Linked DNA regions of Kluyveromyces lactis. The protein of the gene in region 1 binds, or shares a complex with, the protein of each later gene. Links are inferred from orthologs where the notes say so. Each region holds a gene or a part of one and is shown on either strand. Other genes may lie near its edges. The genes, in order: SSN2 and SSN8.

Region 1 (4,631 bases):
TCGCTCCTCACCTGTTGCACATCACTTAAACCTCTCCAATCAAGATATAGTAAAGCAGCCGTCCTTAGAGGCACTATACCATCAAATGCGACATTAGCATACACGGTTCTACACTTGAATCGTTGGAAAACTTCTAACGCCGGATGTTTAGGTAAAAGCTCTAATATGGGTTTAGATTTGATTCTATCATGTGATCCATCATTATTTACAATACCTTTTGATGGCAGAAAATAGCTGCGCTTCAATGTGAGATCCCTTCCAGTCTGTCCCAAAGCGCCAATGTCCAGCACGATAGATATGTATTTGGGCAAATCTCCAATGACTCCGAGGAATGGGCTCGCCGCCGCCACAAAATTGACGGGTGTCAAGCCTGTGGTCTTGTCAAATATGTCTGGTCGTTCGACAGAGATATAGTGAATGGCCATAGCTTGCACGGGTCCTCCCAAAGAGTGACCTACAAATGAGATTCTTGTTAAGGTGAATTGCTGTTGAAGTTTATCGATGGTATCGATTATATATTCTGCCAACTTGAATCCTAGATGCCGTATACCTTTATGAGACTTCCCGACGTTTCCAGGATACCCTCTTATTACAAGATTGCCATTATTATCATCTGGCAAAAAGTTCGACGCTCGTTCAATGGTGTCTTTTAAGCAAAGCATATCTCCGCCAATAGAAGAGAAGATGCCATGTGTAATAATTACGAGATGAACTGGCTTATCTGGAAATGGCGGAGGTAAATTCCACAACTGTTCAGTGTCAAGTTTGGAAATTTTCAACCCATCAGTCTGCTGAACTTCTATATTCTTGTCTTTCTGGGAATGTTTAGCAGTTTTGTATGTTGTAGCTAGCGTGAAGACGAATGGAAGCCTTACAATGGTAACGACAGTGAACTGGGCAATAAGGTCAATCTTCCAAGCATAACAAGAAGTACCGTCAACTCGAGCATTAGAATTGAGATAAAGTTTCGCTTTGAAATTCTCATCAGGCTTGAGGTCACTCATGAACTCAATTCCATCTCCTATGAATTGCTTTCTCTCGTCATAATTGTTCGGCGTTATTTCAACATAAATTGAGTATGGTCCAGTTATCCATAACGGCCTCAAAAGCGCGCTCTCCTGGTTTTTGAATTCGAGATAGAGAGTATCGTCAGTACACTCAATTCCGTCAGATAGTAGCTTATTTTTATCTACAATTATCTTATAGCGATTGACATCCCCGATACCAAGTGACCCTGTTTCCCTTAAAAGCAGAATACCACTATCTGATGACTCAGTGTCGTTCTCTTCAGTCAGTTTTATTGCCATCTTGGCATACGCCAACCACTGTTAGCAGAAGTACAGGTTATACTGCGTTTCCAATTGAGAGTGCGCCGCTAATCACGGGGGGTGCGTTTAGCTTTATGCTTTGGTACCTGTCATTCATTGTTTTGTATTGGCAATCTTTTTTGTTTTTGTTTTATAATGATCAAGCGATTCATTATTATAAGTAGTGATAACTCGAGATAAAATCGTATAATTTTAAAAGAAGGTAACTAGACAGCATCTCTTAACAAGTACGGATTTTTGAAGTACCGTTGCATCCTAATCAGTCTGACTATCCAGCTTACTTTTCATCAGAGCAACGGAAACCATGAAAAAGGAGGTTGGGGACGCATGTCGATTGGAGGACATCGTTACCAATTTATACAGGTTAGAAACTGTCAAACAAATAAACTATCACCAATATGTACCTAGCAAGGCAGATAATCAATGGTCAATTCAAGCAGAGTTGTTCCTAAGGAGGAAAAACCCCAAAGTACTTGCAGCTCTTTTTTCCAGGGAGTTATGGTGTTTTAGTATTAACGATGATCCATTACCAGAGTTAAACCTTGAGCTGAATAACGAATCGGAGTCACCCCAGCCAGAGCGGAAGGGTCACTTCACCCCAGAATTCTCAAAACCTCACTTGCCTACCCCATATGCCATCTTTATGAAGGCTCTCAGGCGTATGATATATGTCAATTTGACCCTATCCTCCAATGAAACCATCGTGCCCTTTGGAAACTCATGCATATTTCAGGAATCATATACCTTTTCGACCAAAATCTTACACTTTGATCCACATCTATTTGAAAATGGAGATTTGACTGTTGCAATTTGTTCCAAGGATTTGGGTTTATCGAAGTTGAATGCAGAGAGCCTCAAACATGAAGTGGCTGTGTATTTGGCTCCATCTGGGATCAGAGTGTATTTACCATCCACAGATTTAAAGAAATGTTATGTATCACCACCCAAAAACGCTCAAATGTTTCTCAAGACACTATTTGTCTCCCATGGAATAAATTTAATCGATGTCGACGGTTTGAAATGGGTAAAGCTTATTCCAAATGCTAACCATTTGAATGGCTTCACTCCAACAATATCACATTATCTTGACGAACCAAAAGGAAATAATTTCGTTATCTGGCCGGCATGTCTCTGTTTTGTACAAACAGCATCTGACGTTCAAACTCCTCAATATACTGCATTTTCAAGATCCCCGCAGCTTGAGTTAGATGATTGTTTCGATATGATAGATGGATTTATACAGTTAAAACTCACTTCGGCCTACAGAACGCCTGGAACATCTGCAGGGATGGGAACTGTAACCGGACATAACCCATTAAGTACGGGAGGAATATTTACTGATCAGTTTCAAGGGTTTAATAAGCATTCGGCCAATAACAGCAATAACGTATCTTCAACGGGAGAGAATGGTAAGTTTTCTCCGGAATACTCTAATGATCCAAACGTAACACCTCTGCGAGATAATAAAACTAGTAGACAGAATTTCCCCACAGAGAGTTACAGCAGTAATGGTTTCATTACAACTCCAATAATAAATGAGAATATCACTCCAACCGTTGATGATATTATAACAGAAACTCCTTCCGTAAAACCTCAGAACGATCTTTGGAATGAGAAAAAGGATGTAATAAATAGTACATCCAATATCAACTCAAAGGACGCATCAGTAGGTAGTTCTGAGCGTAAAGTAGAACTGGAAACCGCTTTTGAATCTCCCGCTCAGAATATTTCGATAGAGGAACACGAGCATGTAGAATTCGACAAAGATCTTTTTGGTGAAGATAGCGACGAAGATGTCAGTACGCGAAATAAGAACGAAGAACTGGTATCTGTAAAAGAGATTACTGACGAAATGTTTGATCTAGCCGAAGATGACGATGAGGCTGACGGATCAACTAGTAACTCGTTAAAGTTTGATCGTCCCGACACCATCGAGTCTATTGATACTGACGAAAAGAAGACAAGAACAAAGCGTACCTATTTGGACATACCAGTGGATGTCATTACTATAGAAAAGACACCTACATTATACGAAGATCCAGGAGCACCTTTGCCTATTGAAACCCCAAAAGACAGAAAGAAAAGTATATTCGCACCACTCAATTTCAACCCCATCTTTGAAAGTAATGTGGATAACAAGTACAAGAATGGAGGTAAGTTTTCTGTTAACTCGAACACCAATGACGAACCAATACAATTTGGGATAAGTACAAGTAATATATCAAGCTCAGAAGATGATGATAGCGATTTTTCTCCTGCTGATTTCAACAATAATGGACCATCTGCAGGAAAGGGCTTATCATATGATCCAAGAGACAATGATATACCAATGATCGAGTCATCAACATACGAACCTATTGCAAAGGACTCTCTTCCCGAATTGATAAACCCACCATCTTCTTCCAAAGATGATTCTGTGGCATCTTATAATACGATCGGAACTCTAATGGAAAAACCTGTTAAGTCCAACTTAGACGCAATATGGAAGCCCGCCTTAAGTAAATCAGAAAGAGCTGATCTACCAAACCAGACAATTAATGGGGTCATAAACGACTGCAATAACAGCTCAAACTCAAATCCCACAACTTACTTTGAGAATACGCCTTCTCTCGGACCGGATACTCTATATGATAATTCAAAACCAAGAAGTTCATCAGCTAACTTTCTTTCCACGGTTGAAATCGACCCCAAAAGCGAACAAACTATTCAAACCGCAGAGCAAGAACAATCTGAATCATCTAGAATTCTCCCCTACCTTTTGAGACACATGCCTTTGTTCTCGTTGCCTGACGTGTTCCTTTGTCAGAATCCATCTTTGCCGCCCGGAAAAGACTTCGAGGATATTCTAGAGATTTTGACAGATCAGATAGTCTTCAATAATGATATGTTTTCTGATGATAGGGCAACAGAATCTCAGTTTAAAGGGATCAAGGATTGCTCCGTTGGCACCATCAGCGATACCATGAACCAGCTTTTTGGGAATTTTTCAAAGCTTCACGGAAACGAAATAATAGAGGAAGTCTTCTATTTGCCTGAACCATCAGTGTTTGTGAAGAAATCTGAAGATACAATTAAAATAAAAAGCTCATCGTGTTATTTCACGGAATATTTAAATCTGAAACCCAACCGTGGGGTAAAAAATTTCAGGGCCCTAGTGCTAACCACTGAGGCAAAAAATGATTGCATGTCTTTCGTATCACAAATGTCTCAGACATATTCGAATCATGAGTTAGGGTTCTGTGAACTGACTAAGTTGACTAATGACGATAATAAAGGGTTAATATACTTAAAAAATTTTAACCA
Region 2 (3,128 bases), on another chromosome or scaffold:
TTGCCAGAGTTGATAATAGTGATGCAAATATCAACACTCTTGGCAAACAAAAAAAAATTCCCGAGATGGTATCCTAACTAATATACAATGCGGGAACCTCACAGAATAATGAAATGACAGACACTCTGCTTCTGCTTCACTAAACTTTTGGACTCGCTTTCTTTTGAACTTGTGCTTCCACTTTTCCTACTTCTACTCTTTATAAATACACGTTAACATTGTTAGTTAAGATTTGATTTCGAGTTTCATGTTTAACTCTCGAAATCATATTGCCGTTCGTTCACTTTTTTTTTTCTTTTCTGCGCATGAATAGCTCTAGATTATTTGGCAGATATCGCTTCGCCAAAGATATTTTTGGTGTTAAAGAGAAATAGAAGTTGCAAATGCAGCTCTTGGAGTGAGGCTTCTACTTGTCCTCTAGTTGACTGTGATTGCGAACTAAATTTTTTTTGTGCGTACAATGTGTATATTTCTCAGTGTCTGCATTTCTGTGATTCTTCCGTGAGTTGTCCAATATAATTTCATTTCGTTCTTATGCGATATATCCTTGATGCGTGGTTGATCTTGAATGCTACGTAATTTGTTATGTATGTACAGGTGTGAACTGAACGAAATCTTTTCGGCTTCAGAATCACTGAATTGCTGGTGTTTGTTGACGGAGGTATAACTCGTGTAGGAGCGCTCTGATCCGCAGTTCATTGTATTTGTCCCAATGGTCGTATAGTGATATGAGTTCTTGAAGGATAAACATCACTTGTTCCAAATTAACTTGAGTTTCAGCGATGAACATGTTGATGTTAGCACGCTTTGTACTGTCCTCTGGCTTGTGAATGATGCAAGACACTGCAAATAGACAACTTATGGCGATCACGTGCGGTGAATAGAGTAAATGGACATCGGTCGTATAACTATCGTTAATCAACGACCATATTTTCTGAAGCTCATCGTCTGAGAGTTTATAGTTGTACTTTTCGGATGATAATGCCTTCTCGATCTGTTCTAGAGACCGGTACGGATGGTGTACAATCAAATATGATTGCAATTCCTCGATTAAATAAAACTCAAACTCGGTCACTTTTGTCACATCCGGTGGAATAAACTCTGGCCATAGAGACCTCGCCTCGTTGACTAGCGTTCTTATATGCTGCGGACATTCTTCCACTTTGCAAGCCAAATAGATGCAGGTGGTGATTAAAAGATACAGGTTCACTTCCCTGACACTAGCTCGAAGCAAAAATCGGCTCAAATAAACATGTGCTGTAACAAGTGCACACTGCCGTATATTGAGCCTCCTGCCCAACTTCATTATAAGGAAATAGCAGTATATCCTCAAATTGTAGTCTCGATCATAATGCAGATCTCGCTGTGTAACCGGAATGTTTGTCGTCACCTGCTTGTTCGCCTTCGAATCGTGAATCGTAACATTCAAACCTTGTGGGAATAATTGGCATTCCAACAGCCAGAGTTTCTGCTTCTCCTTAGCCAAGGATTCCCTAGTATACTTCCACTTGTGCCTCTGACTCGAATCCCAGTATGAGGCGCTCATTTTGGAAAGATAATCTTCTAGCTGTTCAATGAATAAGGGGGGGAAAGGTATTTTTTATCCTCCAGTGAAATTTGTACTGCCTTTTGTTGTCGGAATCCTTTGTTCAAAGTACCTAACCCGATTCGGTTCTTACTACCTTACCGTTCGCTATTCTTCAATTCATCATCAAGTACATTATGATAAGCTGACCGTTGCAGCCCTAAATTTCAGGTCGTTAAGAAGTCGGGTAACCTTTTTGAAAATTTTTTGGAAAAAAGTTAAACATTCAACTATATGAACCAAACATCAGCACTTCAAACACTTACTTTTAATTAAATGTTTTCTAGTGTTGTCTTTTGTTGTTGTTTGTTTCGTAAGTCGAGGGTTTTGTAGTCGAAGAATCGTCACTGATCGAAGCTTACATAAGGAACGGATTTTATCTGTTCAATTGAAATGATATCATTTCTATAGCTTTGGGTAGAAAGTCTCCGACCAGTCCGTAAGCGGAAACGTAATGAGATTTAAAAACTTTTCAAATGTTTAAATCAACTCATTAATCGTGTTGGTTTTCTGTCACGGTTTCTATCCAGAGGCTGTTTTAGAAGCCTCTGTGTCTTGGGTACTGAAGTATTTCTTTACTTTAAACGAAAGTTATGACGATTGCCCGAGCGTTTTTATCTCTTTTTTTGTTACTTCTGTTTACAGGGGTGATTAGGGAGGAGGTAGCTTGGGTAACCCAATGGAGCTTACTTTCTCGGCTCACGAAACTCTCCATCCTTTTTTCAATCATCAAACAGCTTGAAGTGGATTCGTTTCAAATTTATTTTGAACTTTTCGATACTTACGCATAGTCAAATATGCCAAGCTGCCCTGATTATTTATTATTGTATCATTTATTGCCTTGGATTATACTCAGTTGAGTATCCTCTCATATCAAGTGCTACAAGGAAGAATTTCAAAAGATCCAGCCGTCATCTTTCCCTCTTCATTTTAGGATTTTTAACGTGATGAAATAACAATGCAACATAGAGTCAAGCTCTGAGCTTATATAGCATGGACGAGACTTGCTTTTTACAAACGTACTGATCAAATTTCCTTGATGATAAAGAAGAGTTATTGACTGCGGTCTAGAGTAGTACTGTATGTATCTTCTCTGTTTTGATTTTTTCTTGAACGCTGTTAGCACCGCACCATCTAGTATGAGTCCGGCTAACCATTTGCTATGAGTTGTAAACATGTGTAGTACTAGAATCATCTACTTGTTAGTGTGGTTTTCCCATCGAGTAAGTATCTCTTGTATTTCTTTGCTTTCCATTTACGGAACTACTACCTACCATTTCTATCTATCAGCTGAACTACATAACGTGGCACAAAAAGTGATCTTCCTATCCATATCTAACTTTGTCTCAAGCTGCTCACCTCTAATGTTACATAGCTATCTTCTATTTCTGCCCTGGAGTAAAAGAGGCTTTTTATTTCTGATCGTGAACTGATCATCAGATGGTTTTCTACTTGTTACTACCCATAAGTTCTAATGCATAAATCAACATGGTTGAATAAATGTTGCACCAATTCCAAAAGGACCATGAATCAACCACGATCT

Evidence for each region.
Region 2: the proteins of SSN2 (region 1) and SSN8 are in contact, whole or in part, in a cryo-EM structure (PDB 7KPV), measured with the Saccharomyces cerevisiae proteins. The link is inferred for Kluyveromyces lactis from reciprocal best matches to the Saccharomyces cerevisiae genes SSN2 and SSN8. Residues at the interface, in NP_010731.3 of Saccharomyces cerevisiae: His1109, Leu1111, Pro1112, Val1115, Phe1117, Arg1118, Thr1119, Met1120, Lys1208, Phe1210; in NP_014373.3 of Saccharomyces cerevisiae: Lys18, Ala19, Ala22, Leu283, Glu284, Met287, Ile290, Gln291, Ile294, Asp298.

The regions. Positions count from the first base shown.
Region 1 is NC_006038.1:107,385-112,015, reverse strand, and holds the start of SSN2 (Ssn2p), read left to right. Parts: upstream 1-1,632; coding exon 1,633-4,631. Other genes in the region: KLLA0_B01375g (putative hydrolase), read right to left, coding at 1-1,307. UniProt on the Saccharomyces cerevisiae protein: Component of the SRB8-11 complex. The SRB8-11 complex is a regulatory module of the Mediator complex which is itself involved in regulation of basal and activated RNA polymerase II-dependent transcription.
Region 2 is NC_006041.1:737,180-740,307, forward strand, and holds SSN8 (cyclin-dependent protein serine/threonine kinase regulator SSN8), read right to left. Parts: upstream 1,547-3,128; coding exon 632-1,546; downstream 1-631. Other genes in the region: ICE2 (Ice2p), read right to left, coding at 3,034-3,128. UniProt on the Saccharomyces cerevisiae protein: Component of the SRB8-11 complex. The SRB8-11 complex is a regulatory module of the Mediator complex which is itself involved in regulation of basal and activated RNA polymerase II-dependent transcription.